Linked DNA regions of Pelodiscus sinensis. The protein of the gene in region 2 purifies or fractionates together with the protein of the main gene of each other region. This does not show direct contact. Links are inferred from orthologs where the notes say so. Each region holds a gene or a part of one and is shown on either strand. Other genes may lie near its edges.

Evidence for each region.
Region 1: the proteins of DDX6 (region 2) and MCRIP1 purify together in Homo sapiens (affinity purification with mass spectrometry; 3 studies listed by BioGRID and IntAct, with this or other methods). This does not show direct contact. The link is inferred for Pelodiscus sinensis from reciprocal best matches to the Homo sapiens genes DDX6 and MCRIP1.
Region 3: the proteins of DDX6 (region 2) and PABPC4 purify together in Homo sapiens (affinity purification with mass spectrometry; 3 studies listed by BioGRID and IntAct, with this or other methods). This does not show direct contact. The link is inferred for Pelodiscus sinensis from reciprocal best matches to the Homo sapiens genes DDX6 and PABPC4.
Region 4: the proteins of DDX6 (region 2) and MCRIP2 purify together in Homo sapiens (co-immunoprecipitation; 5 studies listed by BioGRID and IntAct, with this or other methods). This does not show direct contact. The link is inferred for Pelodiscus sinensis from reciprocal best matches to the Homo sapiens genes DDX6 and MCRIP2.

Annotation. Positions count from the first base shown.
Region 1 is NC_134730.1:29,673,013-29,680,025, forward strand, and holds the start of MCRIP1 (mapk-regulated corepressor-interacting protein 1), read right to left. Parts: upstream 3,016-7,013; 5' UTR 2,981-3,015; intron 2,901-2,980; exon of another isoform or gene 2,748-2,900; intron 889-2,747; exon of another isoform or gene 725-888; intron 277-724; 5' UTR 204-276; coding exon 196-203; intron 1-195. UniProt on the Homo sapiens protein: The phosphorylation status of MCRIP1 functions as a molecular switch to regulate epithelial-mesenchymal transition. Unphosphorylated MCRIP1 binds to and inhibits the transcriptional corepressor CTBP(s).
Region 2 is NC_134736.1:596,836-604,577, forward strand, and holds the start of DDX6 (putative ATP-dependent RNA helicase DDX6), read left to right. Parts: upstream 1-4,737; 5' UTR 4,738-4,877; exon of another isoform or gene 4,878-4,936; intron 4,937-4,950; exon of another isoform or gene 4,951-5,174; intron 5,175-5,666; exon of another isoform or gene 5,667-5,812; intron 5,813-7,742.
Region 3 is NC_134735.1:2,618,762-2,626,737, reverse strand, and holds the start of PABPC4 (polyadenylate-binding protein 4), read right to left. Parts: upstream 3,007-7,976; 5' UTR 2,214-3,006; coding exon 2,021-2,213; intron 1-2,020.
Region 4 is NC_134726.1:2,083,965-2,091,834, forward strand, and holds the start of MCRIP2 (MAPK regulated corepressor interacting protein 2), read right to left. Parts: upstream 3,003-7,870; 5' UTR 2,810-3,002; coding exon 2,755-2,809; intron 2,588-2,754; coding exon 2,509-2,587; intron 1-2,508.

The DNA.
Region 1 (7,013 bases), on a different chromosome or scaffold from region 2:
CTCCAGCCTCTGACAAACCGAGGCCAGGGACACCATTTCTATCCCCTGGCTAATAGCCGTTTTTTCTAGCCCCCGGCTAACAGTAAAGCTAGTACTGTTCATGCTGTGCCCAGCCCCAGGGTATCCCCCTTAAAAGGGAGTCCATGCCTCTCCCCTCCCCCACTCATCTACAGGGCCTGTGGAAAAGTGTCTCACCTGGTCATGGCTGCTTCCTTGCTCAGCCCCCTCTAGGCCTGCCTTCGGCAGCGCAGCCCCTTGGCAGACAGGAGATGGAAGCTGGAACAGAAAGTGAAAGGGGGCTGAGCGTGGGTGGAAGCCACTGTGTCTGCAGCCCCGCTAGCCATGCAGGCACCCCAAGCAGGCATCCCAAGCACAGCAGCAAGGCCTTGCGAGAGTCAGAGTGGCTGCATTCCCACCCCAGCAGCTGCGGCGCCCCTCCAGAAAGGAAGGAGAAGGATTTCGGATGGGAGCTCGTGCTACTTTAACCCATCAGTGCTCAGGGTGTGGGGCTAATGCCACCAGTGCGCTGATGTCGTACAACCCCCTCATGTGGGCACAGTTATACTGGTGCAAACGAGGGTACAGCCAGGGTCGCTATCCCCACCCACCAAAGGGAACAAGCCATGCCCAGACAAGGTAGCCCTGCCCCAGTATACCTATACTGGGAGAAGGCTTCACCCTTGGCTGACAGTGTATGTGCCACAGGCCTTGAGAGGCAGCAAACCTGGGGTCACCCTGAGAGGGGGAGCCTCGTCCAAGGTGATGCTGGAGTCTGCCAAGGAGGGGACCGAACAAAGGGCAGGTTGGGACGAAGCCCCGGATCAGCTTCCTGGCTCCCAAACCCGCTGGGCTGCTGGTCAACGGCCGCTGCTCAGGACCGTTCCATCCCTGCAGGCCATTGCATAGGAAATGGGGGGGAGGGCGGCAAAACCTGTGCTGCTGTGGGGCGGGGTGGTGCCTGCTGGGGAGCTGCACCCAGAGGTGCCCACAGACCAGGTCAGGCAGGCACGACTCTGGCACGCGCAGCCCGCTCCCGGTCACTGTGTGAGGGGACGGCTGAGAGCAGTAACCCCCCCAGCGGGGCAGTACCAGGGCCCAAGGGCAGTGCCAGGGCTGCTGGGGGGGCGGGTCAAGACGGTACCAGGGCGGCTGAGGGGGGGGCGGGTCAGGACGGTACCAGGGCGGCTGGGGAGGGGGGGACGGGTCAGGACGGTACCTGGGCTGCTGAGGGGGGGGGGGCGGGTCAGGACGGTACCAGGGCGGCTGGGAGGGGGGGGAGGGTAAGGACGGTACCAGGGCGGCTGCTGGGGGGGGGGAGGGTCAGGACGGTACCAGGGTGGCTGGGGGGGGGGGAGGGTCAGGACGGTACCAGGGCGGCTGGGGGAGGGGGGAGGGTCAGGACGGTACCAGGGCGGCTGCTGGGGGGGCGGGTCAGGACGGTACCAGGGCGGCTGAGGGAGGGGGGGTCAGGACGGTACCTGGGCTGCTGGGGGGGGGGGCGGGTCAGGACGGGACCAGGGCGGCTGGGGGGGGGAGGGTCAGGACGGGACCAGGGCGGCTGCTGGGGGGGGGAGGGTCAGGACGGTACCTGGGCTGCTGGGGGGGGGCGGGTCAGGACGGTACCAGGGCGGCTGGGGGGGGGGGAGGGTCAGGACGGTACCAGGGCTGCTGAGGGGGGGGCGGGTCAGGACGGTACCAGGGCGGCTGAGGGGGGGGGAGGGTCAGGACGGTACCAGGGCGGCTGAGGGAGGGGGGGTCAGGACGGTACCTGGGCTGCTGGGGGGGGGGGCGGGTCAGGACGGGACCAGGGCGGCTGGGGGGGGGGGAGGGTCAGGACGGTACCTGGGCTGCTGGGGGGGGGCGGGTCAGGACGGTACCAGGGCGGCTGGGGGGGGGAGGGTCAGGACGGTACCAGGGCTGCTGAGGGGGGGGCGGGTCAGGACGGTACCAGGGCGGCTGAGGGGGGGGGGGAGGGTCAGGACGGGACCAGGGCTGCTGAGGGGGGGGGCGGGTCAGGACGGGACCAGGGCGGCTGAGGGGGGGGAGGGTCAGGACGGGACCAGGGCGGCTGAGGGGGGGGGAGGGTCAGGACGGTACCAGCGCTGCTGGGGGGGTCGGGTCAGGACGGTACCAGGGCGGCTGAGGGGGGGGAGGGTCAGGACGGTACCAGGGTGGCTGAGAGGGGGGGAGGGTCAGGACGGTACCAGGGCAGCTGAGGGGGGGAGGAGGGTCAGGACGGGACCAGGGCGGCTGAGGGGGGGGGAGGGTCAGGACGGGACCAGGGCGGCTGAGGGGGGGGGAGGGTCAGGACGGGACCAGGGCGGCTGAGGGGGGGGGAGGGTCAGGACGGGACCAGGGCGGCTGAGGGGGGGGGCGGGTCAGGACGGGACCAGGGCGGCTGAGGGGGGGGGAGGGTCAGGACGGGACCAGGGCGGCTGAGGGGGGGGGCGGGTCAGGACGGTACCAGGGCGGCTGAGGGGGGGGGGGGGCTGCTGCTGTTCCTGGGGCTCCGGCCCCATCGTGGGGGGGGGGGGGGGGGGGCAGAGCTGTATCCCAGCGCCGGGCCCGTTGCCATGGCGACGCCGGGGCAGGGCCTGGCGGGGACCGAGCGGCCCGCAGGGAGGGGCGGGGCCGCGGGGGGGCAACCGTCGGGGGGGGCTGCGGCCCGCGGGGGGGGGCGGGGCCGTTGCCATGGCGACGCGGCACCAGGCCGCCCAGGCCCGGTCGGGGGTCCCGGCGACGCTCACCTGGGCCCGGCCGCTCCCGGCGCCGCTCGCCGCTGCCAGGCCGGGACGGAAGTGAGCGCATCGGCCGGGCCGCGCAGGCGCGTGGGGGTCACGGGGCCCCGGCAGAGCCCGCTCCCCGGAGCGCGCCGAGCGCCGAGCCCGGGTCGAGGGGCGGGGCTGTGGGGCCGCTTCGCGCGGCGGGCCCGGCCCCCCCCGGGTGTCGCTGCAGCCCGGGCCGCGCGGGCTCCCCTCACCCGCGGAGCTGCTGTCTCTGCGCTGTCCCCGGGCCCGGCGCCTCGCCTGGGCTGCTCCTCGGGCGCCTAGAAACAGCGGGACCCGCCCTGCGTCTGCACCGAGCGCTGGTGCCAGCTCGCTGGCTGCTCCCCGAGCCCCGCCGCCCGCCTGCCCCCTCCGGCCCAGCTCCCTGTCTGCCCGCAGGGCCAGCGCCAGGTGCCCCGGGGGGTGAACCGAACAGGGGATGATCAAGCGACCTCTCTCCTGCATCCATCTCCCCCTCTGACACAGGGCTGGGGGCACCACCCCTCACCCAGCCTGGCTAACAGCCATTATGGACCTAACCTCCTGAATGTATCTAGTTCTCTTTTAAACCCGGTTCTAGTCCTGCCTTCGCAGCCTCCTCAGGCGAGGAGTTCCACAGATTGACTCTGCGCTGTGTGAAGAAGAACTGCCTTGTATTTACTTTAAACCTGCTGCTCATTAGTTTCATTTGGTGGCCCCTAGTTCTTATATTATGGGAACAAGTCAATAGCTTTTCCTTATTCACTTTCTCCACACCACTCATGATTTTATAGATCTCTCTCATATCCCCCCTTCGTCTCCTCTTTTCCAAGCTGAAAAGTCCCAGTCTCTTTAATCTCTCCTCATATGGGACCCGTTCCAAATCCCTCATCATTTTAGTTGCCCTTCTCTGATCCTTTCTAATGCCAGTATATATTTTTGAGATGAGATCACATCTGTACGCAGTATTCAAGATGTGGGTGCACCATGGATTTATATGAGGGTAATAAGATATTCTCCATCTTATTCTCTCTCCCTTTTTTAACGATTCCTAACATCCTGTTTGGTTTTTTGACTGCCACTGCACACTGCGTGGACATCTTCAGAGAACTATCCACGATGACTCTAAGATCTCTTTCCTGATTCATTGTAGCTAAATTAGCCCCCATCATATTATATGTATAGTTGGGGTTATTTTTTCCAATGTGCATTACACTTTACATTTATCCACATTAAATTTCATTTGCCATTTTGTTGCTCAGTCACTTAGTTTGGTGAGATCTTTCTGAAGTTCTTCACAGTCTGCTTTGGTCTTAACTACCCTGAGCAGTTTAGTGTCGTCTGCAAACTTTGCCACCTCACTGTTTACCCCTTTCTCCAGATATAAGTTGAATAGGATTGGTCCTAGGACTGACCCTTGGGGGATACCACTAGTTACCCCTCTCCATTCTGAAAATGTACCATTTATTCCTACCCTTTGTTTCCTGTCTTTTAACCAGTTCTCAGTCCATGAAAGGTTCTTCCCTCTTATCCCATGACAACTTAATTTATGTATGGCCCTTTGGTGAGGGACCTTGTCAAAGGCTTTCTGGAAATCTAAGTATACAATATCTACTGGCTCCCTCTTGTCCACGTTTGTTGACCCCTCCAAAGAACTCTAATAGATTAGTAAGACATGATTTCCCTTTATAGAAACCATGTTGACTTTTGCCCAACAAATTATGTTCTTCTATGTGTCTGACCATTTTATTCTTTGCTATTGTTTCAACTAATTTGCCTGGTACTGACGTTAGACTTACTTGTCTGTAATTGCCGGGATCACCTCTAGAGCCCTTTTCAAATATTGGCGTTACATTAGCTATCTTCCAGTCATTGGGTACAGAAGCTGATTTAAAGGACAGGTTACAAACCCTAGTTAATAGTTATGCAATTTCACATTTGAGGTCTTGGGTGAATGCCATCTGGTCCTGGTGACTTGTTACTGTTAAGTTTATCAATTAGTTCCAAAACCTCCTCTAATGACACTTCAATCTGGGACAAGTCCTCAGATTTGTCACCTACAAAGGACGGGTCAGGTTTGGGAATCTCCCTAACGTCCTCAGCCATGAAGACTGAAGCAAAGAATTCATTTCGTTTGTCCACAATGACTTTATCGTCTTTAAGTGCTCCTTTTGTATCTCGACCGTCCAGGGGCCCCAGTGGTTGTTTAGCCGGCTTCCTCTTCTGATGTACTTAAAACATTTTATTACCTTTGGAGCTTTTGGCTGGCTGTTCTTAAAACTCCTTTTTGGCTTTTCTTATTACATTTTTACACTTAATTTGGCAGTGTTTATGCGCCTTTCTATTTACCTAACTAGGATTTGACTCCACTTTTTAAAAGATGATGTCTTTTTATCTCTCACTGCTTCTTTTACATGGTTGTTAAGCATCAGTGGCTCTTTTTTAGTTTTTTTACTGGTTTTTAATTTGGGGTATACATTTAAGTTGGGCCTCTATTATGGTGGCTTTGAAAAGAGTCCATGCAGCTTGCAGGGATTTTACTTTAGTCACTGTACCTTTTAATTTCTGTTTAACTAACCTCCTCATTTTTGCATAGTTCCCCTTTTTTAAATGAAATGCCATAGTGTTGGGCTGTTGAGGTGTCCTTCCCACCACAGGAATGTTAAATGTTATTATATGATGGTCACTATTTCCAAGCGGTCCTGTTTTAGTTACCTCTTGGACCAGATCCTGCGCGCCACTCAGGACTAAATCAAGAATTGCCTCTCCCCTTGTAGGTTCCTGTACCAGCTGCTCCAAGAAGCAGTCATTTAAGGTATCAAGAAATTTTGTCTCTGCATTTCGTCCTGAGGTGACATGTACTCAGTCAATATGGGGATAGTTGAAATCCCCCACTATTATTGAGTTCCTTAGCCTCTCTAATCTCCCTTAGCATTTCATACTCACTATTACTGTCCTGGTCAGGTGGTCGATAATAAATCCCTACTGTTATATTCTTAGTAGAGCAGGGAATTACTATCCATAGCGATTCTATGGAATATGCTCCTGATGTGCTTAAAACAGTTGGGCTGTGTCTACACTGGCATGAATTTCCGGAAATGCTTAAAACGGAATACTATTCCGTTTTCAGTTTTTCAGGAAAAGGAGCATCTACGTTGGCAGGCTGCTTTTCCGGAAAAGCCCTTTTTCTGGAAAAGCGTCTGTGGCCAATGTAGATACGCTTTTCCGGAAAAGAGCCCCGATCACCATTTTCGCGATCGGGGCTTTTTTCCGGAAAAGACTACTGGGCTGTCTACACTGGCCCTTTTCCGGAACAGTGTTCCGGAATAAGGACTTATGCCCGAGCGGGAGCAGAATAGTTTTTCCGGAAAAGCGGCTGATTTTGTACAGTAGAGCGTCGTTGCTTTTCTGGAAATTCAAGGGCCAGTGTAGACAGCTCGCAGCTTATTCCGGAAAAGCAGCTGATTTTCTGGAATAAGTGGCCCAGTGTAGACACAGCCTTGTTGTGGTTAGGTTGTGTCCTTTGCTAGTTGCTCTTCAGATTCTTTCTGGGGCTGACCAATTACACTTGACTTATCAGCTTTTATGCTCCTTTCTATTTTTCTCAGGATTTGACAATCAGTTTTTCAAGAATTATTTTTTAAAAATCGAACTGCCTCCTGTTCTCTGTTTAGCCATGCTGGCATTGTGTTTGTCTTCTTACTTGCTTTTGTTGGGGGTAGATATTTTCTTTGAGCCTCTCAAGGTGTTCTCAAAAAGCCCTTTTCTATACAAGCATTTCACCCTTGTGACTGTTGCTGTTAGCTTACATGTAAGCAGTCCCGGCGTCTTTGTCTAGGTAAATGCTACCGTGGTGCATTTCTCTGACCGTTTGCTGAGTCCCCGGGATGTTTCATGTAATTACATTAGGGCAGTTCAGCTGTATTCTCTTGGACCAGAGCCTATGCATATAGGATTAAATCAAGAATGACCTTGCCCCTTGGGGGTTGTAGCACACACTGCCCCACAAGCAGTCATCTATGGGGTCTAGCAATGTGACTGGTGCACCCTTTCCTGTGGTGGCACATGCCAAGTCAGGGTGAGGCTCTTTGAAGTCCCCCACTATTATTGAGTGTTCTTCCTTTGTAGCTTCCCTAATGGCCCTGAGCATTTCACAAGCACCGTCTGTCTCTAGCAGCAGTAGCTTGCTCCTGTGGCAGTGCAGCCAGGCCTTTCTAGCCCCAGCTTAATTCATTCCAGGTGGTTGCAGCATGTGGCCCTTTGCTTTCT
Region 2 (7,742 bases):
TGCTGCACCTATATTAGTCATTAGTACACGAAACTGAGAATGGGAGCCCTGCCACTGTCAGCATGGATAAATGGAAGTTATACTGTACTAATGGGGAACAGCATGTTGCAAACCTAAAAAGTATGAAAAATTGTGGACTGTATGAAGTACAGGTTGGACCTCTCTAGCCTGGAACCCTAGGGACCTGACTGGTGCCAAACCAAAGAATTAGCCAGATCACAGGAGGTAAATATTGTCTAGCAGCATTATCAAAACTTCCACCGCTTACTGGGCTCTTAGAAGATATTTAGGGGTAAATAATAGCACAGAACACTTAGCCAGGACTGGTGGCTGTAAACTTTGAGACTGTGGGAAACTTGATAACACCCATGATAACATCTAGTTAACATGGATGTTGCCGGATCAGAGAGTGCTGGACTAGAGATACTCAACCTGTAAGCTAATTAAAATAAAAATTGCAGTGGAAGCCTAAAATTGTGAAATCCCCAAATCATAAATTAAGTAGATAATAAATTCAGTGTATTTTTGATACCATATACATTACAAATGGAAACTCCCAAGTGCTATTTAGTCAGTTTTTCCATTTTGCCTTTGAGAGTATAGACTGTGACTTGTAACACCTGTAAATATTAATAAGCTCTTCACATTGTAAGAATTCTAATTGAGATATCATGATATCATGAACTGCACATTTAAAAGATAACTGAAACAGCAACTTTATTTCAATAAGAACAAAAAGTCTGTTTATTCTAAATCCCAGTATTTGGGCTCCACATCAACTTAGAAAACCTATACATTTAGAAAAAGACTCCATTACAGTTTTGGAAATTAGAGTGATGGTGGCCAGAGAGGGAAATGTAGTTCTGGTGAACAGAGTTGGATTAATGGTCTGACCAGTCCGTTCCTCTTTTTTATCTGCTAGGAACGGGAGCCTATATAGGAAGATCCCAGGTGGCTGTACCTCTGGCATACACCAGAGATTATCATTACATCTTCATTTACTTCCTCAAAAGAACTTCATTTACTTCCTCCAGGGCTATGTCTACACTCGCGGCTTCTTGCGTGAGAAATATGCAAATGAGGCTGTGTGGAATATCCCCGAGCCTCATTTGCATACCTAATAAGCCACCAATTTTGCAGGAGAGGCTCTTGCACCACAAGGAGCTGTCTACACTGCCCCTTCTTGTGCTAGAAAAACCCTCTTGGCAGCAGTGTGGGGGGAGGCGGAAGCTACCTCTCCCCCCACAAGTAACTGTTGAAACTTTCACCTGTTACATTTTACTTAAATAAACACATTTTAACATCCCTACTGCACTAATAAATTATACCTAGTGTGGGAATATGTTAACAATATCCAGAGAGAGGGTAATGCCCTCCAAGGCAAGAAAATCAATTCTCCTTGCCCTTTGGTGTCAGAATAATAGAAAGAGATCCTAAAAGTTTTCTCCAGCACATCACTGGTATAGAACTGCAAGGTCCAACAGCACCTACTGAACTTATGCTGGAGGTTCACCCTTAACAAAACTCTATGGGTGAAAATTTCAGATACAGTAAACCAGTGGTCTCCAACCTTTTTACCCCCCAAGATCACTTTTTAAATGTCAGAACAAGCCAAGATCTACCGCCCCATCCTTCTCCCAAGACCCCCACCCCTTCCTTAAAGCCCCGCCCTCTCTGTTCTCCTCTCCATCACTTGCTATCCCCAGCCCTTATACACACTCAGGGTATGGCTACACTGCTGCTTTGTTTTTTTAAATTCTTCTGTATGAAGAGGTTTTTCCAACATTTTGCTATCTAGATTGGGCCAAATATCCTTGTGGAATGAGGAATAAAGGGGTTACCGAAAGAGCATGGTTGCTCTTCCACTAAAAAAAGTGGAAGAACAAATGCGTCCCCGGATGCGGAAGAGTTTTTTCCGGGATACCTCTGGAGTCCCAGAAAAACTCCGGCAGTCTAGCTGTACCCTCACTGGGTTGACAGGATGTGTGGGCTCTAGGGTGGGAATGAGGGATTTGGGTGTGGGAAGGGGTGAGACGTGCAAGCTCTGGGAGGTAATTTATATGCAGGAGGAGGTGGAGATGGGGATGCTGGCTCCAGGTTGGGAAGTTTTTGGGTCAGGTGGATGGTTGGGGTACTGAGCTAGCCATAGGCTTGTGGATGTGAGGGTACAGGAGTTTGGGTTGAGGTATGTGAGGGGCTCAGGGCAGGGAGGTTGGGAGTATGATGGCACCAGGACACAGATTTGCAGTGTGTGGATGGTGCAGAAGTGTCGTGGCGGAAGACTGAGGATGTGGGGGTGCAGGAGTTTGGGGATGTGAGAGGCTCAGGACAGGGAGCTCCAGTATATGATAGGCTCAGATCTAGGGTCTGGGGTGGGGTGGAGGTGCAGGAGTGTTATGATGCTGTGGCCAAATGGGGGCTTGGCCACAATTGGAGGGTTGTTGGCCAGGCTTCATTTTTAAATAAAATATTATGTCAAACACAAAAAAGTTTCAGCATTGTCTTTATTTATGAGAAGGGCAGGGAACCTGTTTTGAGTCAGGGATCAGTGACCCACAGAAAAGTCAGTTGGGGCCACAAGTGAGATGCAAAAAAAAAATTCCTCCAAAACCCTCCCCAAGCCTCACTAATATGGCTCCAACTGTGCTGGTGGGAGCAGGGGACATGGTACTGGGGAAAGGTGCTAGTGGGTGCTGAGGCAGAGTGCCAGTGGGGGCAGGGAGTCTGCGACACATGCCTCCCCCTGGGACTCCTATCCCCTCTCCCCCTGCCCGGTGCACCTCCTCTGGGAATGGACTCCTACCCCCCACCCCCCAGAAGAGGAGGGAAGCTCCAGCAGGCGCCTCCTCCCAGGACTCCTCCCCACTCCTACAGAGGAGGAAAGCTCCGGCGCGTGCCTCCTCTGGGGACTCCTCCCCCTCAAAGAGGAGGGAAGCCCCGGCATGCACCTCCTCTGGGGATTTCCCCCCAGCAAGTCCTTGGCACACCACAGACCTGGGTTGTGGTGCCACGCCGGCTGTTTGGGGGAGAGGGAGCAGCCAGCGCACTTCCTGAAATCCTGAAGTGGCGCACAGCTGCTGGACTTCCTTCCACCCCACAGGAAGCCGGAACTACCTCCATTGTTACTAGAGGAAGGTAGTGGGGCTTCTTGGGGGTGGAGTGAAATGGGGGGCCCCCCTGAACGCCTTGTGATCAACTGGTTGAGCCCTCCCAATTGACCAGTCAATTGCGATTGACGGGTTGGTGACCACAGAAGTACGCAGTGCCAGTCTTTGACGAAATGGCACCCCAAACAAGGGATGTCTTTAGTGCCCCTTTCCAATCGTTAAACTTTTTTTTTTTGCATTTGTACCCCACTTCACAACTTCGGAGCATGGGTGGCACGTGTGCTTTATTGGTCATATAAGGTTGACTGGCAATGCCCTGCCCCTTATATACACCCATAAGGGCATGTCTGACAACTTCTAGGAGGTTTGAGGAAAATGCAGTTATCAGAAAGTCTGGAAGGTTAAAACAAGATTCTACAAAAGATCCAGAACATTCTAGGAGGTTAGTAAAAAAAATGAATCCACATACAGAGTACCTGTGTTTAGCATTCTATTTTCCCTTTTGCAACTAACAACAAAAAAAAGCACCCGGCCCCCCTGGAAGTTACCTAGGTCACCTGATTCTAAATTAAGCCCTGACTGTACTTACAAACTTGCTTTTCCTGTATTCCCTGCTGTCTTCAGAAGCTTCTTCTGGGGCCCTGTCATGCAAAATTAAAAATCGTTTGACTGTTAAATTGTTTGGTACTTTATTAATGATGCGAGGGTATCTTAGTAAATAATGGTTTAAAAGGAACAGTGCAGCTAAATAATTAACAAAATACTATTTGGTTAAGTGAGAGAGCATAAAAGGAAGGCATGGAGAAAATGTTTCCCTTGAGCAGAACAGCTAAGTGCTAACCCATGTAAGAATAAATACAGATATGAGAGAGATGGACATACAAATTTGAGTATAAAGGATAATTACTTCGGGAATATATTCAAGCTTTTGTCTACTAAATTACCATTTTCTATTATGCAGATGTGTGTTGTTAAAAAACTCAATTTTCTTTTTAAAATAATCTGATTTAAAACTTTTTTTCATTCACCTTCAACTGTTTCCATATTATTTTTTGCCATTGATGTTCAATATTTTTTCCAGCAGAGATTTAATACAGTGTTATATTATGAGGGCAGCAAAACTTGAAATATCATTTGTAAAACCTATTTGCCGCCACAACTGTTCGTTTGTAATGAAGAACAGAAAGAGCACGCTGTCAGCTCCTCCTCGCGTGCTGGCTGAGACTCCGTAAATTACTAAGTCGAAGGGTTGTTCAGAAAGTTATTCCCGGCAGTCGCTAATTTTGACACTTTCCTCCCGGGGGAGGGGAACAACCCCTGCGTGTCCAGTCGGCACCGTCTCACCCAGGGTCCCTAGACGAGGCTCGAGTCTCTCTCGGGACCGACTTTGCTGTGAGCGTCGCAGGGCCGCGGGCAGCGCCTGGCTCTGCACGGTCCCGGCCTGAGGCGGGCGTTCAGCCGCTCACGGGAGCCGGGGCCACGGCGCGAGCTGCGCCTCAGTTAGACGGAGCCCACGAGGGAGCCGCGCGCGCAGCCGGGGGGAAGCGGAGGGCGGGAGGCCGCGAAGCGCGCGGCAGCTTCTGTGACGCGGAGGGAGGAGGCGGTGCTGGGGGCCCCTGTAGAAGAAGCGGGCGGCGAAGAGCGCGGCAGGGAAACGGCCGCGGCTGAGCGGAGGCGGGTCGAGCCCTGCGGCAGCCCCCTCCCTTCCGCCTGACCAGGCGGGCATGGCCGGCCGGCGCTGCGGCTCCTCGCGGGAGCGGCTGAGTGCAGGTGACGGCGGGGGCGGGGTGACGGCGCGAGGCGTCCCGGCGGCTCGCAGCAGCGCTGAGGTAACGGGGGGCGGGGCCTGGCCGCGGCCCGGCCGGGAGGGGGAGGGCGCACGGGAGGAAGAAGGAAGCCGCCATCTTGGAGCGTCGAATCGCCATAACAAGGCACCAAGCGGGCAAGTGAGCGGTTCCTTAGCGCTGGGAGAGCGGGCAGCCCAGCCGGCGGCGGGGAGCAGGCTCCCGAGGAGCGGCTTTGGGGACAGGGCATGGGGCCGCGCGGGCCTGGGCGGCCGCTTCTTTGGTGAGGCCTGCGGCCTTGCCCCGCACTAGGGGCTGGGCCTGGCCTTGCGGGCGGCCACTCGAGCCCGGAGGCGGCGGGGGGCGCAGTGCGGGGAGGGGTCTGGCGGGTCTCACCCCCCCCGCATGGAGACCGGTGTGTTCGCTGCCCCGGAGGGGCGTGTTACCCAGGGCGCGGGCGATCGCTGCTGCGGGGGGCGGCGCTGCGGTGTGTGCGGGGGTCATGTGGGGGGGAGGCTTGTATCTGGCAGCCTGACCTTGAGGGCGGGGGGGGGCGGCGCTGTTGTATCTTTTAGGGGCCCTGCCCGGGGGGCGGGTTGGGCGTCAGGGGAGCACCGCCCCCGCGGGGTCTGGGGCCCGAGCGGCCGGGGGTGTCTTTTGTTTGCCCGACGGATGGTGCCCGCTGATGTTGCGCAGATACATTTCTAGGGTTTATGGACGTTTGCTGTTAGGCCGGGCGCCCGCCTTTCGGAATCGCCCCCTTTCCTAAGCACTGCAGAAACTGCATCGGACTCACACCAAAGCTTGGTGGTGAAGCGCTGTCAGTCCCGGGCTGAGCCCCATGGCGAAGTGGGAGGGAAGCAATAAATGCTTAAGCTGCTGCGCTCCATTGTTTGGTTCGGAAAACGAGACCTTTTTCTGGTGTGTAGAAGGATGAGACTATGGCTGACATTTCTGAACTGATTGGAGCTTCAGTGAGGGCTTTTATGGTTAGAGGAGATGTAGGTCGGTTCTGGGGCAGCTCACCTCCGCCTACTAATGAGGTCTTTGCTAAGATGCAAGGGAGTAGTTTTTATAAACAACGAAAGAGTGATTCCTGGGATCTCTTAAAAAGTGTCCCCTCCCAGTCTTGTTTTTTCTTGTAGCGTTATGTGCTATCTTTAGGCAAAAATCAAAGCTCCCAGGGAAAAGGAGGATGTTCACTGCAGAAAGGGGAGTGGAAATAATATAGTTAGTGGCAGCGGCTTCCAGAGTCCTGCATACGTGGTCAAAATGAAGAAAGGAAATGCTTAGAAAAGGGGGAGGGGGAATGTTGAGGTTTGCTAGTAAAGAGCACTAATTTTTTAAGCTGTCCCTGAAGTTTTAGGTTTGTTCAGATTTATTAAATATTGTTTTACTCTATAACATAATCTAATGTTTTTCCTGTGAGTGTTAAGGAGTGCAAAGGCATGTTGTCAGGTAAAATAGCATGAAAGTAGGTTATTAAACAGAGCCTTAAAAAATTCAAAATTGAATTTACTTCTTGCTGTAACTCCCTGTTTATATGTTTGCTGCTTCTGGACTAGCTATATGTTTCAATTTTTTTTTTAGTAGTAACATAGAAGGGAAATGTCTAAATCCAAATAGTGTTTCTCTTGACTTCTTAAACATTCTAATACTTAAAGCATTTCATTAAAATGATTTTTGGATGTATAAGTGTCCCTGTAAATTAAAGGTACTTGAAAATGATCTGTGTCAAAATATTTCACCTCAAAAGGTGTGCCATGTAAAATGACTTGACAGATATTGGAGGAGGTATTTAAACATGGTTTTGTGCAGTTAGCAGTACTTCACATACTAATTTTAACGGTTTCCCTTCCATAGTCACTTGCTTTGTCTTTACTGTGAAATACAAGTAAAGGAACTGAGGGCTGATTTAAAAAAAAGACAACTTGGTTGTAAAACAATAGACATTGTCAGACTCAGAAGCAAGTTGTTGTACTTAAAACTACTTAGAATTGCTCTTGAAAGTGACTAGATAATGTCCCTTTAAGGAATGTTAGTATTTGAATTATATAGGTGATTTTTTTTTAACCTTGGTATGGACAAGGTATCAGGTAAACAACTTCTTTATAAGAGTTCAGTGATCAGCTAATGCCACCTTTTGTTTTGCATTTATTTTATACAGTGCAGTTCTTTGTAGTGGTGATACTGTAAGTCAAGCCTGTAAATCCTTTCCCCCTTCCTTGTGAGGGAGGTAGACTTGTTAGTAACAGTTCTAGGGTTACTTCACAGTAACTTATCTTGTAGTTGCACTTCAGTAATTTTCTATGAAGAGTACAAGTCATTGTGTTTAGCAAACAAAATATCAAACCATTATAATACTTTCCCAATATTGTCACTAAATTTTGAAGCTTCAGGGGGTAGCTGAGTTAGTCTGTACAGGGGGAAAAAAACACCAAGAAATGGTCTGTGGTAGCACTTTATAGACTAACAAAACATGTAGATGGTGGTATGAGCTTTCATGGGCACAGTCCACTTCTTCAGTCATCACTTCTCCACCCCGGTCATCTGAAGACGTGGTTTGTGCCCACGAAAGCTCATAATACCATCTACATGTTTTGTTAATCTATAAAATGCTACCAGACCATTTGATGTTTTTTTACTAAATTTTGAATTGGTTTTGTATGTACTTATTTTCTGAGGGCAACAGGCAGGCGTTTTAGTGAGGAAAACTTTTTTGAATTTATCTCAAGGTGTTAGCACAATTAAAACATTAAGAAGGGAGTCTCTAAGACTTGTCAGATTTGCTGTCTCAGATAAGAAAACTGAAGTATTGTAAGTAGTTGTTTACCTTTCTTGAATGAAATAA
Region 3 (7,976 bases), on a different chromosome or scaffold from region 2:
ATTCCAGACAAGAATTCAGCCCAGTAGGTTCTGCTTCTGAATAGGTTTAGAAGAATACATCAATTATGTACAAATTTAAAAAACAGTCTGGCAACACCGTGGAGACGAACAAAACACGTAGACGGTATCATGAGCTTTCGTGGGCACAACCCACTTCTTCATCTGAAGCTCATGATACCATCTACATGTTTTGTTCATCTGTAACTGGAAAAACTTAAACAACGAATCTTCTAGTAACATCTTAAAGACTAACTCAGCTACCCCCCTCTGAATCAATTTAGTAGTAACTAATATTTACTACAGATTAGAAAACTCAAAATTCAAGGACCACATATTCCTTTGTGTACTGATGAGACTACAATTTGTATTCTTAAACTTGAATCTAAAGTAGATTCTATGAGTAGAGTTTACATGTAGCTGAAGTTTGTGTTGTTGCAAATTATTTCTGGATTAAAGTTAAATAGTCACTCCTTTTTACAGCAAATGTAACCCCTCTAGCAATTTACCTCATGTAAAGATGCTGCTAACTCACAGCACCAGGCAACACTTAGCCCTGTCTAATACAAGACTGTGGGAACTAGGACAGAAAATGCTGACCCAGCTTTTCCTCTGGATAAGGACATACTAAAAATTGATCTCCTCTGCCCCATCCTTCTCAAATATCTGCTGCTGCGGGCCAAGGACACCTACCTGAACAGCATCTAAACCTGAAGAAGTGGGTCTGGCCCACGAAAGCTCATCACCTAATAAACCATCTTGTTAGTCTTTAAAGTGCTACATAGTCCTGTTTTTTGTTTCAGCTAAACCAAGCAAGGCACCATGAATTTTGTATGTCACTCATTAAGGCTTCAAGTGAGATGGGTGTGTATTCCTTTTTTTAAAAAAGGTAGAAAAAGCATCAGTCCATGTGTTTCCACTTCATAACCAACTGCAAACTAGATCAGCCACCTGGCTGTTTCCCCAGCGCAAGTCTACACTGCATTTTAAAATCTGTGAGAAGGCATCTCAGAGCTGGGGTCTACACACAGGGGCTCTCGTGCTACAACAGTAAAACCAGCAGCATAGATGTTTGGACTCCGGCACGGAGGGAAGGAAGGCTTCAGGGCCTGCGCCTAAGTAGCTACAATGTTGTTCATAGCGCTGCAGCGTGAACTCCAGTCTGTGGATCCAGGCTCTGAATCTTGATCCCATGGGTTTTATAACAGTGTAGATACATCTCTGGCCATTACAATCCTCAGCCCATTGCACACACCCTCAAGTCTCCAGGTGAGAGTAGGAAGACTCCTTTACAGTTATTCAGACTCAGATCGGGCCAGATGCTGATTAGGCTTTACCTTCCTTTAGTGACTGACTGGCTAAAGAGCCAGGCATGAAGCTTAAAGTAGGGATGTTAAAATTCAGTTAAACAGGTAACCATGCAACTGTTGAACATCTCAGCGGTTACACACTACAGGAAGTCCTCCCCCACAAGGGGAACCCACAGCAAAGCCTCCCCCCTCCTCTCCACGAGAGCAGAGCTGGCAGCCCCTGCCCACCCACCTCCCAGAGAGGAGGCATCACTGTCCCACCACAGTGACGCCACCTCTCTGGGTGCCTGAATGTAACTGACACCATTAACTGACAGGCATCAGAGTATGGGCTAAACCATTCCTCAGTTACACTCTAACATCCTTACTCTCTAAAGTGCTACAGGACTACTCCTTATTTTTAAAGTTACAAACACAGAGACCCCCTCTGAGTCAGAAAAAGTGAGTCCCAGGAAGCTGATTTTGGCCAAGAGAAATATCACTTCTCTGCTTCATAGAGGTGCTGTGAAGATTATTTAATGTTTGAAAAGGCTTCTGAAGATGTGAAGTAGTTAAAATCATTCTACTTTCATAATGAGGAGCAAATCAGAGCTGTCATGAAGTTCTTACCCCGCCACTGTAATTCACAGCTAGGTGACTGGATGGGGATTTATAAAAAGCAGCAGAACTGTATAGAAAAAAGGAAGAGGCATGGGCATGTGTGTCCAACTTACCATCAGCTGGCTGCTGGAAGTTGACATAGGCATATCCCAGGGAGCGACGGGTGATCATATCCCGGCAGACTCGGATGGAGAGTACAGGCCCAGCAGGGCTGAACTTCTCATATAACATGGCCTCTGTGACATCAGGGTGCAGATCGCCAACATACAATGATGCCATTGGGTAGCTACTAGCAGCTGTATTCATCTTCCACCCAGCACGCACTCCCACCAGAAACTATTTTATTTTTTTTTAAATTTTTTTAAACAAGCAAAAGTTTTAGAAACTAAACAGGTAAATAACAAAAATCACTAATTTAGGACTAGCAGACGTTAAAGTGGGAAAACCAGGTGGGAAGGGGGGAGGGAGGATCACCCTCAGGGCAGAAAAAACTAAGTCACAGAAGGAAGTCCAGGCCACTGGGAAGTCAGGTGAAAAGTAGGGTACTCTAAGGGGTCTGGAAAGTCAAAGAAGCAGATTGGAGTTCAGTGCAAGAAAAGCTCGTGAGGATTTGGGAGGGGAGCCAGAATTATTGGAGAATGGGTGTTGGATTATCTGAGGCCCTGGGAGAGGAGAGGGGAAAGCAGCAGGACGGGAAAGTGCCGGGAAATAGTCAAAAAACGTGAGACTTCCACACGGAAGGTGCCCAAACCCAACAAACAAAAAACAAACCCAAAGCCTCCTCCTCCACGGCCTGTGGCGTTTTTGCCACCTTGCCTCAATTTCCAAAAGCAAAACAGGTCAGTTAAAAAAAGTTATTTTTAAAAAGATTATTATTATTATTATTATTTCTTCTTCCAAAGCCTCCAGACCCAAGGCCTGAGACCGCGGTGTTATTTCCTTAGGTAAAAACTTTTTTTGGGGGGAGGAGGGGGAGGAATAAGACAAACTTCGCACTAGGGTTAGAGCTTTTTTTAAAGGAAAACGAGACCCGCTGCTGTTTCTATCAGGCAGAGCCCGGCTGCTCGGACGAGGAGAGACCGGGGGGGGGGAGGGGGGGGGGGGGACGACACGCCGTGGCGCAGGCAGGCACCGACGGGGGAGACAGAGGCCCACGTGGAGCCTGAGGAGGGCGCAGACAGACAGACAGACAGACGGGGGGGGGGGGGGAGCGCCGCGCGGGGCCCCAGGGGCAGCCGGGCCGGGGGCAGAAACGTGGGGCCTGGACAGACCCACGGACCGTGGGGGGGGGGGGGGGGGGAAGAGACGGGCGGGCCCAAGGACCGGACGGGGGGGGGGGAGCCGAAGGACAGACCCACGGACTGGGGGGGGGGGTCGGACGGACACACGGACAGCACCGGGCCTGCAGGCGGACAGACAGGCGGGGGGGGGGGGGGCAGACGGACCGAGGGGGGGGGGTCAGACGGACAGACAGACGGACCGAGGGGGGGTCAGACGGACGGACCCAGGGGGGGGGGTCAGACAGACAGACGGACGGACCGAGGGGGGGGGGGGTCAGACAGACAGACGGACGGACCGAGGGGGGGGGTCGGACGGACGGACAGACGGACCGAGGGGGGGTCAGACGGACGGACCCGGGGGGGGGGGTCAGACAGACAGACGGACGGACCGAGGGGGGGGGGGGTCAGACAGACAGACGGACGGACCGAGGGGGGGTCGGACAGACGGACCGGGGGGGGCGCTTGGCGGGAGTTTCCGGGGCTTTTGCGATTTTTTTGGGTTTTTGTGGCGGGCGGGGCGGGCCCGACTCACGCGCGGCCCTGGCGGCGAGAGGCGGCCCCCGGCCCGGGGCGCCCCTTTATAGCCTCCCCGGGGTGAAAGGGCCGCCGTGCCGCGGAGAGGACACGGGCCGGCGGGGAGCGACCCGCCGCCGCGCCGCAGGGACCGGCCGCCCGCTGCAGCGACCCCTGGCGGGGAGGAGCCGCCCCGCCCCCCACAGCGCGCACCCCCTGCAGCGATCCGGGGGCAACCTCGCCCCTAAACCCCCACCCCTCTGGGCACCCCCACATCATAACCCCCCTCCAGTAATCTGGGGGTAACACACCTAAACCCCCACCCCTCTGGGCACCCCCACATCATAACCCCCCTCCAGTAATCTGGGGGTAACACACCTAAACCCCCACCCCTCTGGGCACCCCCACATCATAACCCCCTCCAGTAATCTGGGGGTAACACTCCTAAACCCCCACCCCTCTGGGCACCCCCACATCATAACCCCCCTCCAGTAATCTGGGGGTAACACACCTAAACCCCCACCCCTCTGGGCACCCCCACATCATAACCCCCTCCAGTAATCTGGGGGTAACACACCTAAACCCCCACCCCTCTGGGCACCCCCACATCATAACCCCCTCCAGTAATCTGGGGGTAACACACCTAAACCCCCACCCCTCTGGGCACCCCCACATCATAACCCCCCTCCAGTAATCTGGGGGTAACACACCTAAACCCCCACCCCTCTGGGCACCCCCACATCATAACCCCCTCCAGTAATCTGGGGGTAACACACCTAAACCCCCACCCCTCTGGGCACCCCCCACATCATAACCCCCCTCCAGTAATCTGGGGGTAGCTTCACCCCTAAACCCCCACCCCTCTGGGCACCCCCACATCATAACCCCCCTCCAGTAATCTGGGGGTAACACACCTAAACCCCCACCCCTCTGGGCACCCCCACATCATAACCCCCCTCCAGTAATCTGGGGGTAACCTCACACCTAAACCCCCACCCCTCTGGGCACCCCCACATCATAACCCCCTCCAGTAATCTGGGGGTAACCTCACACCTAAACCCCCACCCCTCTGGGCACCCCCACATCATAACCCCCTCCAGTAATCTGGGGGTAACCTCACACCTAAACCCCCACCCCTCTGGGCACCCCCACATCATAACCCCCCTCCAGTAATCTGGGGGTAACACACCTAAACCCCCACCCCTCTGGGCACCCCCACATCATAACCCCCTCCAGTAATCTGGGGGTAACACACCTAAACCCCCACCCCTCTGGGCACCCCCACATCATAACCCCCCTCCAGTAATCTGGGGGTAACACACCTAAACCCCCACCCCTCTGGGCACCCCCACATCATAACCCCCCTCCAGTAATCTGGGGGTAGCACACCTAAACCCCCATACATCTGGGCACCTCCAAAATCATAACCCCCCTTCAGTAATCTGGGGGTAACACACCTAAACCCCCACCCCTCTGGGCACCCCCACATCATAACCCCCCTCCAGTAATCTGGGGGTAGCACACCTAAACCCCCACCCCTCTGGGCACCCCCACATCATAACCCCCTCCAGTAATCTGGGGGTAGCACACCTAAACCCCCATACATCTGGGCACCTCCAAAATCATAACCCCCCTTCAGTAATCTGGGGGTAACACACCTAAACCCCCACCCCTCTGGGCACCCCCACATCATAACCCCCTCCAGTAATCTGGGGGTAGCACACCTAAACCCCCACCCCTCTGGGCACCCCCACATCATAACCCCCTCCAGTAATCTGGGGGTAGCACACCTAAACCCCCACCCCTCTGGGCACCCCCACATCATAACCCCCTCCAATAATCTGGGGGTAACTTCACCTCTAAACCCCCACACATCTGGGCACCCCCAAATCATAACCCACCCCTCCAGTAATCTGGGGGTAACCTCACACCTAAACCCCCACACATCTGGGCACCCCCCAAATCATAACCCCCCTCCAGTAATCTGGGGGTAACCTCACACCTAAGCCCCCACCCCTCTGGGCACCCCCATATCATAACCCCCTCCAGTAATCTGGGGGTAGCTTCACCTCTAAACCCCCACACATCTGGGCACCCCCAAATCATAACCCACCCCTCCAGTAATCTGGGGGTAACCTCACACCTAAACCCCCACACATCTGGGCACCCCCCAAATCATAACCCCCCTCCAGTAATCTGGGGGTAACCTCACACCTAAACCCCCACCCCTCTGGGCACCCCCACATCATAACCCCCTCCAGTAATCTGGGGGTAGCTTCACCTCTAAACCCCCACACATCTGGGCACCCCCAAATCATAACCCACCCCTCCAGTAATCTGGGGGTAACCTCACACCTAAACCCCCACACATCTGGGCACCCCCCAAATCATAACCCCCCTCCAGTAATCTGAGGGTAACCTCACACCTAAACCCCCACACATCTGGGCACCCCCCAAATTATAACCCCCCTTCAGTAATCTGGGGGTAACCTCACACCTAAACCCCCACACATCTGGGCACCTCCCAAATTATAACCCACCCCTCCAATAATCTGGGGGTAACCTCACACCTAAACCCCAACACATCTGAGCAACCTCCCAGTTCCTGAACCCCTTCCACTAATCCAGGGGTAATCTCATACCCTATAACCCACATCTGGGCAGCCCCCCCCCAAATCAGGACCCTCTCTCTAATAATCCAGGGCAACCCCTTCCACTCAAATTTTACATATATATAGGACTCCCACAAGCAAGGCCTCCTTGCCCATAATCCATTTTGACCCCCCAAACATCACACACACACACACATATATATCAGGGTAGCCCCCCAACCCTGACCCTTTCCTCCAATAATCTGAGGTAACTTCATACCCAAACCCATGTCAGCACCACCCTACTCCCCAAATTTTGGATTCTCCCTCCCCAACAATCCTAGGTAACCTATCCGTGCAGTCACCCCGAAACCTAACAAATCTGGCAAACCCTACCTCAAATCCTCTCTCTCTCGCTCACTCACCTCCCCCCCCCCCCAATCCAGGGGCAACACCTACACTCAAATCCTGAGCCTCCCTGAGAATCCAGGGACTAGACCCCACTCAAATTATAAGAACTGCTTGCCAACAACCCCCAAATGCTGACGCCTCCCTTTCCCAGCAGTCCAGGGCCAAATCCCAAATCTTGACACCTCCCCTCCCAGACAACAGAGGTCAATTCCCACTCCTGTCCCCACAAATCCTGCCAATGTACCCTCTTCCAACATCTGATTTCCCCTGCAGTCAGCGGACAACTTCCCACCAAAATCCTGACAATCCCAGAACCACCTCGCCCAAAAAAGCTCCCCCCTACCCATGCCATAAACACATCCTGTCGTTCCCACTTCAAACATCCAAGGGCAAACCCACTTTCATTCATCATCCCCACACCAAACTGGGGCAAATCCCCTGACCAGTTCTGAGACACTTCCCCCTACAAAACACACAATCCATGGGCAAAGGTTCTGGCTTTCACTTTCCCCCTGCAAAACCCCATCCAGATACTGCCAGCTCCTTTTAACTAGGCCATATTTGCCCTTCTTCCAACTGTTTAGGGCAGGCCATCCCCACTCCAAGTCCTGACAGGTCTACTCTGCCTGCCAATTCTAGGGCAAACTCCTACCAGTATCCTTCCCCCATGCCTCCACTAGGCAAAGGACAGCCTGTCCCCCAAGTCTAACATTGTCAGTTGGTTGGCAACAAAATAAACACCCACATACCAATCCTCCCTTCACTCAAGTGATACCAAAAGCCAGTTGCCGCTGCATGAGAAGAGCAGATGTGACTGTCTGTAGTGGCACTGCGATATATTCGTGGCCAGGAGGCGTGGCTGTCTCGTTAGCCCGTGAAGAGAGGGAAATGTTGGCACCAGAAGATTCCGTGGCAGTTGGGAGTACAGAGAGAGGACATGCATATGGACCGGGCCCGATTAAGACCTTTAGAGGCCCTAAGTACTGAAAAGAGTATGGTGTCCCCCCCCCCCCCCGCAAAATGTAATTCAAAATAAAAATAATACTATACCGTAAAATCTCTCTTTTTTTTGTGTGCCCCTGCTTTGCTGGTGCCCTAAGTACGTGCTTAGTCTGCCTATTGGGTAATCCAGCCCTGCATATGGGTTAGTAGGCAGTGATGATTTTTAAGGGCACCGGAGAGAGATTTTTATCCACTCCCTTGCACAGTGCGCGGGAGCACTGGGGTGAAGGTGTCTCTTCAGTCCATGAAGGGGACAGGAATCAAGAAGTTCT
Region 4 (7,870 bases), on a different chromosome or scaffold from region 2:
CTCAGCCGCAAAGGGCTGTCTTAGTGCGTTTTGCTGCATGGACTTTTGAGTGATCGGAGGGGGGAGTCCCTGCTGGAAGGGCCTGGGAAGAAGGGGCTCGGGGGAGGGGTCCGACCGGTGACAGGGAGGCCACGCAGCAAACAGGCTGGGAAGCTCTAAACAAACTTTCATCCCAGCTGTAGGCACCATTTCCTGCTGGTCATTTCCTGCCTGGTAGGGTTCGGGGTAGAGCCCTACCCCTCTACTGCTACCCCCAGCTCAGTTTTTGCAGAAATGAATGTGGAGACACATTTTGTATCCAGAACCCTCCAGTCTGCAGCTGTCCACGGGTCCACGCAGATGTTAGAGCTGGTCCGCCACTTGCTTTTGGGGATACAGATGTTGTATCCAGGCAGGGCTCTAGACACGTGCAGCGTGGCATACATGAATGCACATGAGTGAGCCAGCAGGGGGCGCAAAGCAGCCCTGCCAGCCCAGCTGACATCCACGGAGCTGCACGTGGCTCTAGCCAGGTGGATCTGATGACATGGTGAGGGCGGGATTCCACTTTGCCCTTCGCTATGCTCCTGGAGTGGACAGCGGGCAGGTCAGGACGTGGGCAGGGACCGTGGCTTCAGCCCTCCGGCCCCTGCACCAGATCCAGCCTGGCTTTCTAGCTATGGGGTCTTAGTGCCACAGGCTGCTCTGATCTCCCCCCCCCTTCTCCCACCGGGCTGGGAAACGCAACCCTTCCTACTGCAGGCAGGGGCCTGGGTGGGCCAGGGGCTGTCCTAGCGCCCCTCCAATACCCCTGCCTTGGCTACTGCACGTCCGAGGGCTGGAGGCCTCCTTATCAGCAGGCCCACCGCCGGGTGCAATTCCTTAGTGTCAGGCTGTGCTATCTGGGAAAGAACAGGCCGGGGGGGGGAACCTGAGCCTGTAGTGGCTCATCTGAACCAGGCCACAAACAGTATTTGTTCCTCCCACACACACACACTGGAGAGCACAGAAGTTTGGGAAGAGCCCCCCCCGCAGCCTGGGATTGAGCCCTGGGTGACACTAGCCCCAGGTAAGTCAATGGGAGCTCTGCCGGGGGGGGGGGGGGGGGGGGGCGCGGGCCTTTCGCAAGGTCACAGCCACTTCGTTCCCGTGAATTGCCCTGGGTGGTGCACCGCAAAGGCCACGCTGCTGCCCCCCCGAGCGGAGCCGGCCCCACAGCTCCCGCCCTGTGCGCGCTGGCTCTGCCACTGATCTCCTGGGGCCAAGATCCCAGGCTCGCGCGGACACAGAAACACGGGGCTGTTCAGGGCCCTGACTGCCCACCTCCAGGCCCCAATAGCCCCGTGGGGGTTTGGCGCGGCAGGGGCCAGACGTTTGGGGCCCATGGCTCCTTCCCCGGGCCAGGGCAGCAGGAGACACTGGGTTCAGCAGATGCCCCCTGAGCAGCTGGCTCACCTTCGGGCATCCCTGCCTGTACTTTGGCACACCCTGCCCCTCCCGCCCCGGGGAGCGCGTGCGCCTGTACACTGGGGCAAAGGCTAATTCTGGGCGGTGGTGGGGGTGGGGGCCTCTGGCTGCCAGTGTGCCTGATGTGGCTGCAGAGCCATCCCGCCGCCCCAGGCCCTATGCTTTGGGGGCCCTGCAGCAGTGGCCTCAGCCAGCCTGTGGCCTAGAGACCAGGGCATTAGGGAGTCCTGGTGCAGTGGTAGCAGCAGGGGTCACCCCAAACAGGGCAGGAGCCGGAGCAACCTGCTCCCCACACCCGCTGTGCTGCCCTCTCCAGCCTGCGTTGGCAGGGAGCAGGGCACCCCACCCCCTGCATGGTAAGGGGGGAGGGGCAGGTCTTGGGGAGCGGCGTGGGGGAGGGTCTGCAGCAGGGGAAGGAGAAGTTTGCCCCCCAATGGCCCAGGCATGGGAGGTTTGCCCCAGCCCTGTGTCCCTCTCCCCTAGAATGGCCCTGGCTGGCTGGCACCCCTTGGCCCATCAGGTCCTCCCCCCCCCAGCTCAGTCCCTCTCCTCCAGGCCCCCCAGCTCTATGCAGTCACCCCAAATACTCTAACTCGCCCCCAGATCCGTGCACTGCCCCCCACGTGCTACAGGCCCTGTCCCCCCCCCCAGATCCGTGCACTGCCCCCCACGTGCTACAGGCCCTGTCCCCCCCCCAGATCCGTGCACTGCCCCCCACGTGCTCCAGGCCCCTGCCCCGCCCCCCAGCTCCGTGCACTGCCCCTCCCCCACCCCATGTGCTCCATGACCCCTGCCCCACCCCCCGGCTCCAGCACCCGGCCCCGGCTCCCTGTCCTGCCTGGGTCCCTCTGCCCGCCCGGCGAGGCAGCGATCGGGTCCGGGGTTGAGTCTCCTGTTGGCCTCCACCCCCTTCCCCGCCCCTCCGCCTGCTCCCGAGCCATGTGGCAAGGACAAGCCGGGTAACCTCTGCCCAAGGTCACCCCTCCCCCGCCGCCGGGTCCCCGGGCTGGAGCCGGAGCCGGGCGCGCGGGGGGCCCGGTGCCCCGGCCCACGACCGCTCACCTCGAGGGGGACCAGGCGCTGGGCGGCGGCTGCCGGCCCTTCAGCTCCGCCGCCTTGTTCTCCACCTGCTGCGTGGGACCTGCGGGCACAGAGCGGGTCAGGCTGCGGCGCCCCCTCTCCCCGGCGCCCCGCAGCCGCCAGGGCGCGCAGCCGAGCCGGGGGCCCCAGGCGCAGAGCCGGGGGGCGCGGGCCCCGCAGGGCAAGAACCGGGGCGCAGCCCCCCGCCCGAGAAGCAGCCGGCCCCACCTGTCCGCCTCTGCGTGGCGAGCTTGCTAGGTCCCTTGGCGAGCGTGTACATCATGCGCCCGCGGCTCCAGCTGCGCCTGGCAGGGCTGCAGCCCGGCCCCGACCGACCGACCGACCGGCCCCGCCGCCTGTTGCAAAACTCCGCGAGCCGCCCGCGCCTCTGGCTGGGGGCAGCGGCGCCTCCCCGCTCCGGGCCCCGGGAGCAGCGGCGCGGCTGCAACACGCCCCCCGAGCCTCTTAAAGGCGCAGACGGCGCCTCCGCCTCCTGCCCGGCCCGCAGCGCCGCGGGCTCCCGGGGCGGGGAGTCGGGCCGCCCGCCCCCTGCTCCCTCGGCGTGTGCCGGGCCAGGAAGGCAGGTAACCGCTACGATCTCGGCTCGGCCCCGTGGGGCAGGACCACAGCGCCCGGCCGGGCCTGGGGAGACACGGCAAGCGCCCGGCAGCGACAGCCAGCTGGAGCGAGCCGGCCTGTGGCGACCCCCGGGCCAGAGCAGCCCCTGCCCGGGAAGCCTCCCCCGCTAGGGAGGGGTTAACCCCTTAACCTTGTAGCTCCCTAGGCGGGAAATTGGTCAACAATAGCCGCCGGCACAGAAACCTGCCACCCCCAAGGTGTCTGCAAGGCAGGCCCAGGCCCAGGCTGGACCGCTGGGGATGTGCCCTGGATGTGGGCCGGGAGGTCCCTTGTCAGGGCTGGCCACAAAGTGTCCTCGGGTCAGCGCCTGCAGGTTGTGACGTGCCGGGGGCTTGTCTCTGACCCAGCGCCTTGGTGTGTTGCAAGTTGCACAGGTCAGTTGGGGGCTGGGATCAGCCCTGTGCCCCCCAGCCCCCACCCCAAAACCAGCGGCTGCTTTTGATAGGACGTGTCTGTGCTGCGTGCCAGGGCCCGAGCGGTTCAGCGGGGAGGACACAGGATTTCCCCAAGGAGAATCCAGGTGCCCCCCTCCCCCCCGCGAGGATTCCAATCAGGACAGCTGCCCACCCCGGTGGTCCCCTTCCCGTTTCCCTGCAGTTCTTTTGGCGTCGTCCAGCCCGCTGCACTAATCCAGCCGCAGGAGCCAACACGTGCTCGCAAGGCCCCACTGTCAGCAGAGTGGCCTCTCAGCCCCCCAAGGGTTAAACAGCCGGTTCCTCGGGGCTCCGTAAGTCTCTCCTGGGACGGAGAAAGGGCAGCACCAGGACAGGTGCCCAGCAGTGCAGGTTACACACAGGACACCTCACTCCCGTTTCTGGAGGGGTCTCCTGGAATAGGGATGCAAGCGACCAGTCGACGGTGCAATCAGCAAAGGGTTATCTGACAGTCGAGACTCTGGTCGACTAGGCCAGGGCTACTCAACACGTGGTGCGGTTTGGGTTTACGTGGGGCTCAACACGCGGCCTGCGGGTGGGATCCTTTGAACATGGCCTCCACTGGGAACACGCTCCACAACGAGACGTCTCACAGGTGGGCCGAGCATCGAAAGACACCCGGGGACGAGCTGGCTGGGACAGACGGGTATGGGGTGTCGGCGTTTCTAGCCCCCAGAGAGGAGGTGCCGGGAGCGCCGAGGCATTGTGGGTACACAGGGCTCCCCGAAAGAGCACGTTTGCTCTTCCGCAAGAAAAAGCTGAAGAGCAAACGCGTTTCCTGGACATGCTCTTTCGGGGAGCCCCATGGACCTCGTGCTACAAGAAATGAGGGCTCTCCGAAAGAGGAGGCCTTTCCGTCTGACAGGGCCAAATGGCAGAAAAGCCTCTTCTGGAAAAGCAATCCGAAAAAGCCACACAATTGTGGAGTGCAATTTGCGTAGCTTTTTCTGAAAAAAGGCCAGTGGTCACCAAGCAGTTGATCAGGATCTACCAGTAGATCTTGGAGCCTCTGACGGGGGATCCTGACGGGTTTGGCCAAGAGGCTGTCAAGTGCCAGCTCTTCAGCTGCTCCTCCCCACGCTGCTGCACATCTCCTGCCCTTTGCCGTGGAGCTGTGCCCCCACTCTCCCTCCTGCTGCCTGGGCAGGGCAGGGAAAGCAGAGGAGGGGGGCAGATGTCAGGATGCCCCATCTTCCACCCTATAGTCTATCTCCACAGAAAAGGTGGGGACACAACAGGGCTTGGAATGGGGGGAGTTTTCTGGCTGCTTTTGAGAGTGGTGCAGGGCCAAGGCAGGGGTGATCCTGCCCCATTCCCATTGCTCCACCACCCAGGAGCCACCTGAGGTGAGCAGTGTCTATCTGGAGCCTGCTCCAAACCCATGCCCCAGTCATGAACCCCCCTCCTGCACCCCAAATGCCTGCCTGAGCCCCCAGACCCAAATTCCTTTATGGAGCTTGTACCCTGAACACTCCCCCCTCTGACACCCCAACTCCCTGCCCCAGGCTCAGCTCAGAGCCCCCCTCACACTCCAAATCCCTTAGCCCAAGACCAGAGCCTCAACCCTCTGCCCCTTCCTGATGAAAGGGAGGGAGAATGTGGAAGGGAGGACCGAGTGAGCAGGGTCAGGACCTTGGAGAAGGGGCGGGAAGGAAGTGGGGCCGGGGTATTCGGTTTGAGGTAGATCTTACATTGCACTGAAATTGAAAAAGTGATCTTGTGCTTAAAAAGGTAGGAGACCCCTGGTGTAGACCTAGCCAAAAAGGCAGCAAGGAGGGAGAAAAGGAGGAGAGGCCGGGGGGAGCCAGCTTAAAAGCCTGCTGGGGCTCTTGTGCATTTCAAAGGCGGAAAGCGGAAGTTCTTATCGACTAATCAAATCGTTTATGGAAACCCCATTGAAGATTTGATTAGTTAATTAATCAAAATTTAACATCCCTACCCTGGAATGGGAGACCGTCTCTGCTGGGTTGGCCAGATGTTTGAGAGACAGAATGTAAATAGGGGACAGTCACAAAAAATCCAGCCCCCAGCGGGTTTATGTATGTGCATGTTTATCTATTTCTTTCTGCCGTTTTTCTGCATTCATCTAAAATGTCAGCTCTCAGTAATAAACCTTATGTGGGGCCGTGCACGATACAGCCCACAGGGTGCCTCCACGTGAGGGGTGCAGGGGAGCACAAGACCCCGAACACAAATATATTCTGGGAGGCAGCACATGTACTGCAAGCCCCCCGCATCCCGTGGAGAGCCACTGGGCTTCCCCCAACGCTCATGGGAAGAACAAAGGGATCAGCGGGTCCCCATGGCACCCTACTTCTGGGCTGTGTGACACTGGGAAGGGGCCACGTTCGGATCAGGTCACAGCCAAGCCAACGTACCATCTGGGGTCAACCCACTGCAGAGCCCAGGGCCTCTTCCATGGTATTTGCAGGGAAGGGTCGCAGGTTTCTGGCCCGCCTGGAGACGGCCGTCATTCACTGGCCCACGGCACAGGCACGCAGGAGGTGAAAGCAGCCTGTGTCCACACACAGAGCGTTTCCTGCCCTCAGCCAGCCGGCTTAGAAAAGGCAGTCGGTTTGCATGCACTGCACAGTTAACCTGGGGGAGTTGCTTCCTTTTCCAGGCCAAGGGCCTAGTGGAAAAGTGCATGGTAAACACCAGGTTCCTTCCAGCTCCCAGCTGAGCGAAATAATCCAAAGAAGGACTTTACCATTCTGTGTTTACACAGCAGGATTCTGCTGCTAGCGCCTGCAGGAAGACTAGAAACCACCAGTGAAATTCAGTCCAAGCTGGAGTAACAACTAGCAGAGCCAGTATTAGTGCTCCAAACTCCTGAGAGGAGGCAGAGATTAGCAGCCATAATACCCTACTCTTCCCTTTTTAAAGGTGAGCCGAATCCTTATTTTAGATATGGGGAAACTAAGGCATAGTGAGTTGCCCAAGGTCACACAGTGGAATCAGTGGCAGAGCTGGGAAACAGTTCTCCTAAACTCCCACACTCCTTGTTCTAAGCACTAGATGATGTCTCCCCTGTCCCACTGCTGGAAAAGGCTCCCAAGGGCACACAAGGTCCCCACACGCCCCAGGCCAGACCCAGTCAAAAGGCTGTTTCCAGTTCAGCCTTGACCAGACAATGAGGCCTGCCCTTGCCTCGCAGGACATCCAGCTTTAGGCATGACCTGGCCTAGCCACTGCTCCTGAGAAGGGGTGGTGGTGTGTGGAACAAAGTGGCCCACATCCCTAGCCAGGCTGGGCGGGCCAAAGGGGAAGCCACGTCCTCTCTCAGCTAGCCAGCATCACGGACAGCACACGAGTACGTGCTCCGGCCTTGGTCTCCCACGAGACCTTGTGTGGGAGGTGTAGTGGGAGATGCTGGGAGGCACAGTGGGAGGTGCTGGGAGGCGCAGCTGGAGGCACAGTGGGAGGTGCTGGGAGGCGCAGCTGGAGGCACAGTGGGAGATGTTGGGAGGCACAGCTGGACGCACAGTGGGAGATGTTGGGAGGCACAGTGGGAGATGCTGGGAGGCACAGCTGGAGGCACAGTGGGAGATGTTGGGAGGCACAGCTGGACACACAGTGGGAGATGTTGGGAGGCACAGTGGGAGGTGCTGGGAGGCGCAGCTGGGGGCACAGTGGGAGATGTTGGGAGGCACAGTGGGAGATGCTGGGAGGCACAGCTGGAGGCACAGTGGGAGATGTTGGGAGGCACAGCTGGACGCACAGTGGGAGATGTTGGGAGGCACAGTGGGAGGTGCTGGGAGGCGCAGCTGGGGGCACAGTGGGAGGTGCTGGGAGGCACAGCTGGATGCACAGCGGGAGGTGCTGGGAGGCACAGCTGGAGGCACAGTGGGAGATGTTGGGAGGCACAGCTGGAGGCACAGTGGGAGATGTTGGGAGGCACAGCTGGACGCACAGTGGGAGATGTTGGGAGGCACAGTGGGAGGTGCTGGGAGGCGCAGCTGGGGGCACAGTGGGAGGTGCTGGGAGGCACAGCTGGATGCACAGTGGGAGGTGCTGGGAGGCGTAGCTGGATGCACAGTGGGAGATGTTGGGAGGCGTAGCTGGATGCACAGTGGGAGATGTTGGGAGGCGTAGCTGGATGCACAGTGGGAGATGTTGGGAGGCACAGCTGGATGCACAGTGGGAGGTGCTGGGAGGCGTAGCTGGATGCACAGTGGGAGATGTTGGGAGGCACAGCTGGATGCACAGTGGGAGGTGCTGGGAGGCACAGCTGGAGGCACAGTGGGAGGTGCTGGGAGGCGCAGCTGGAG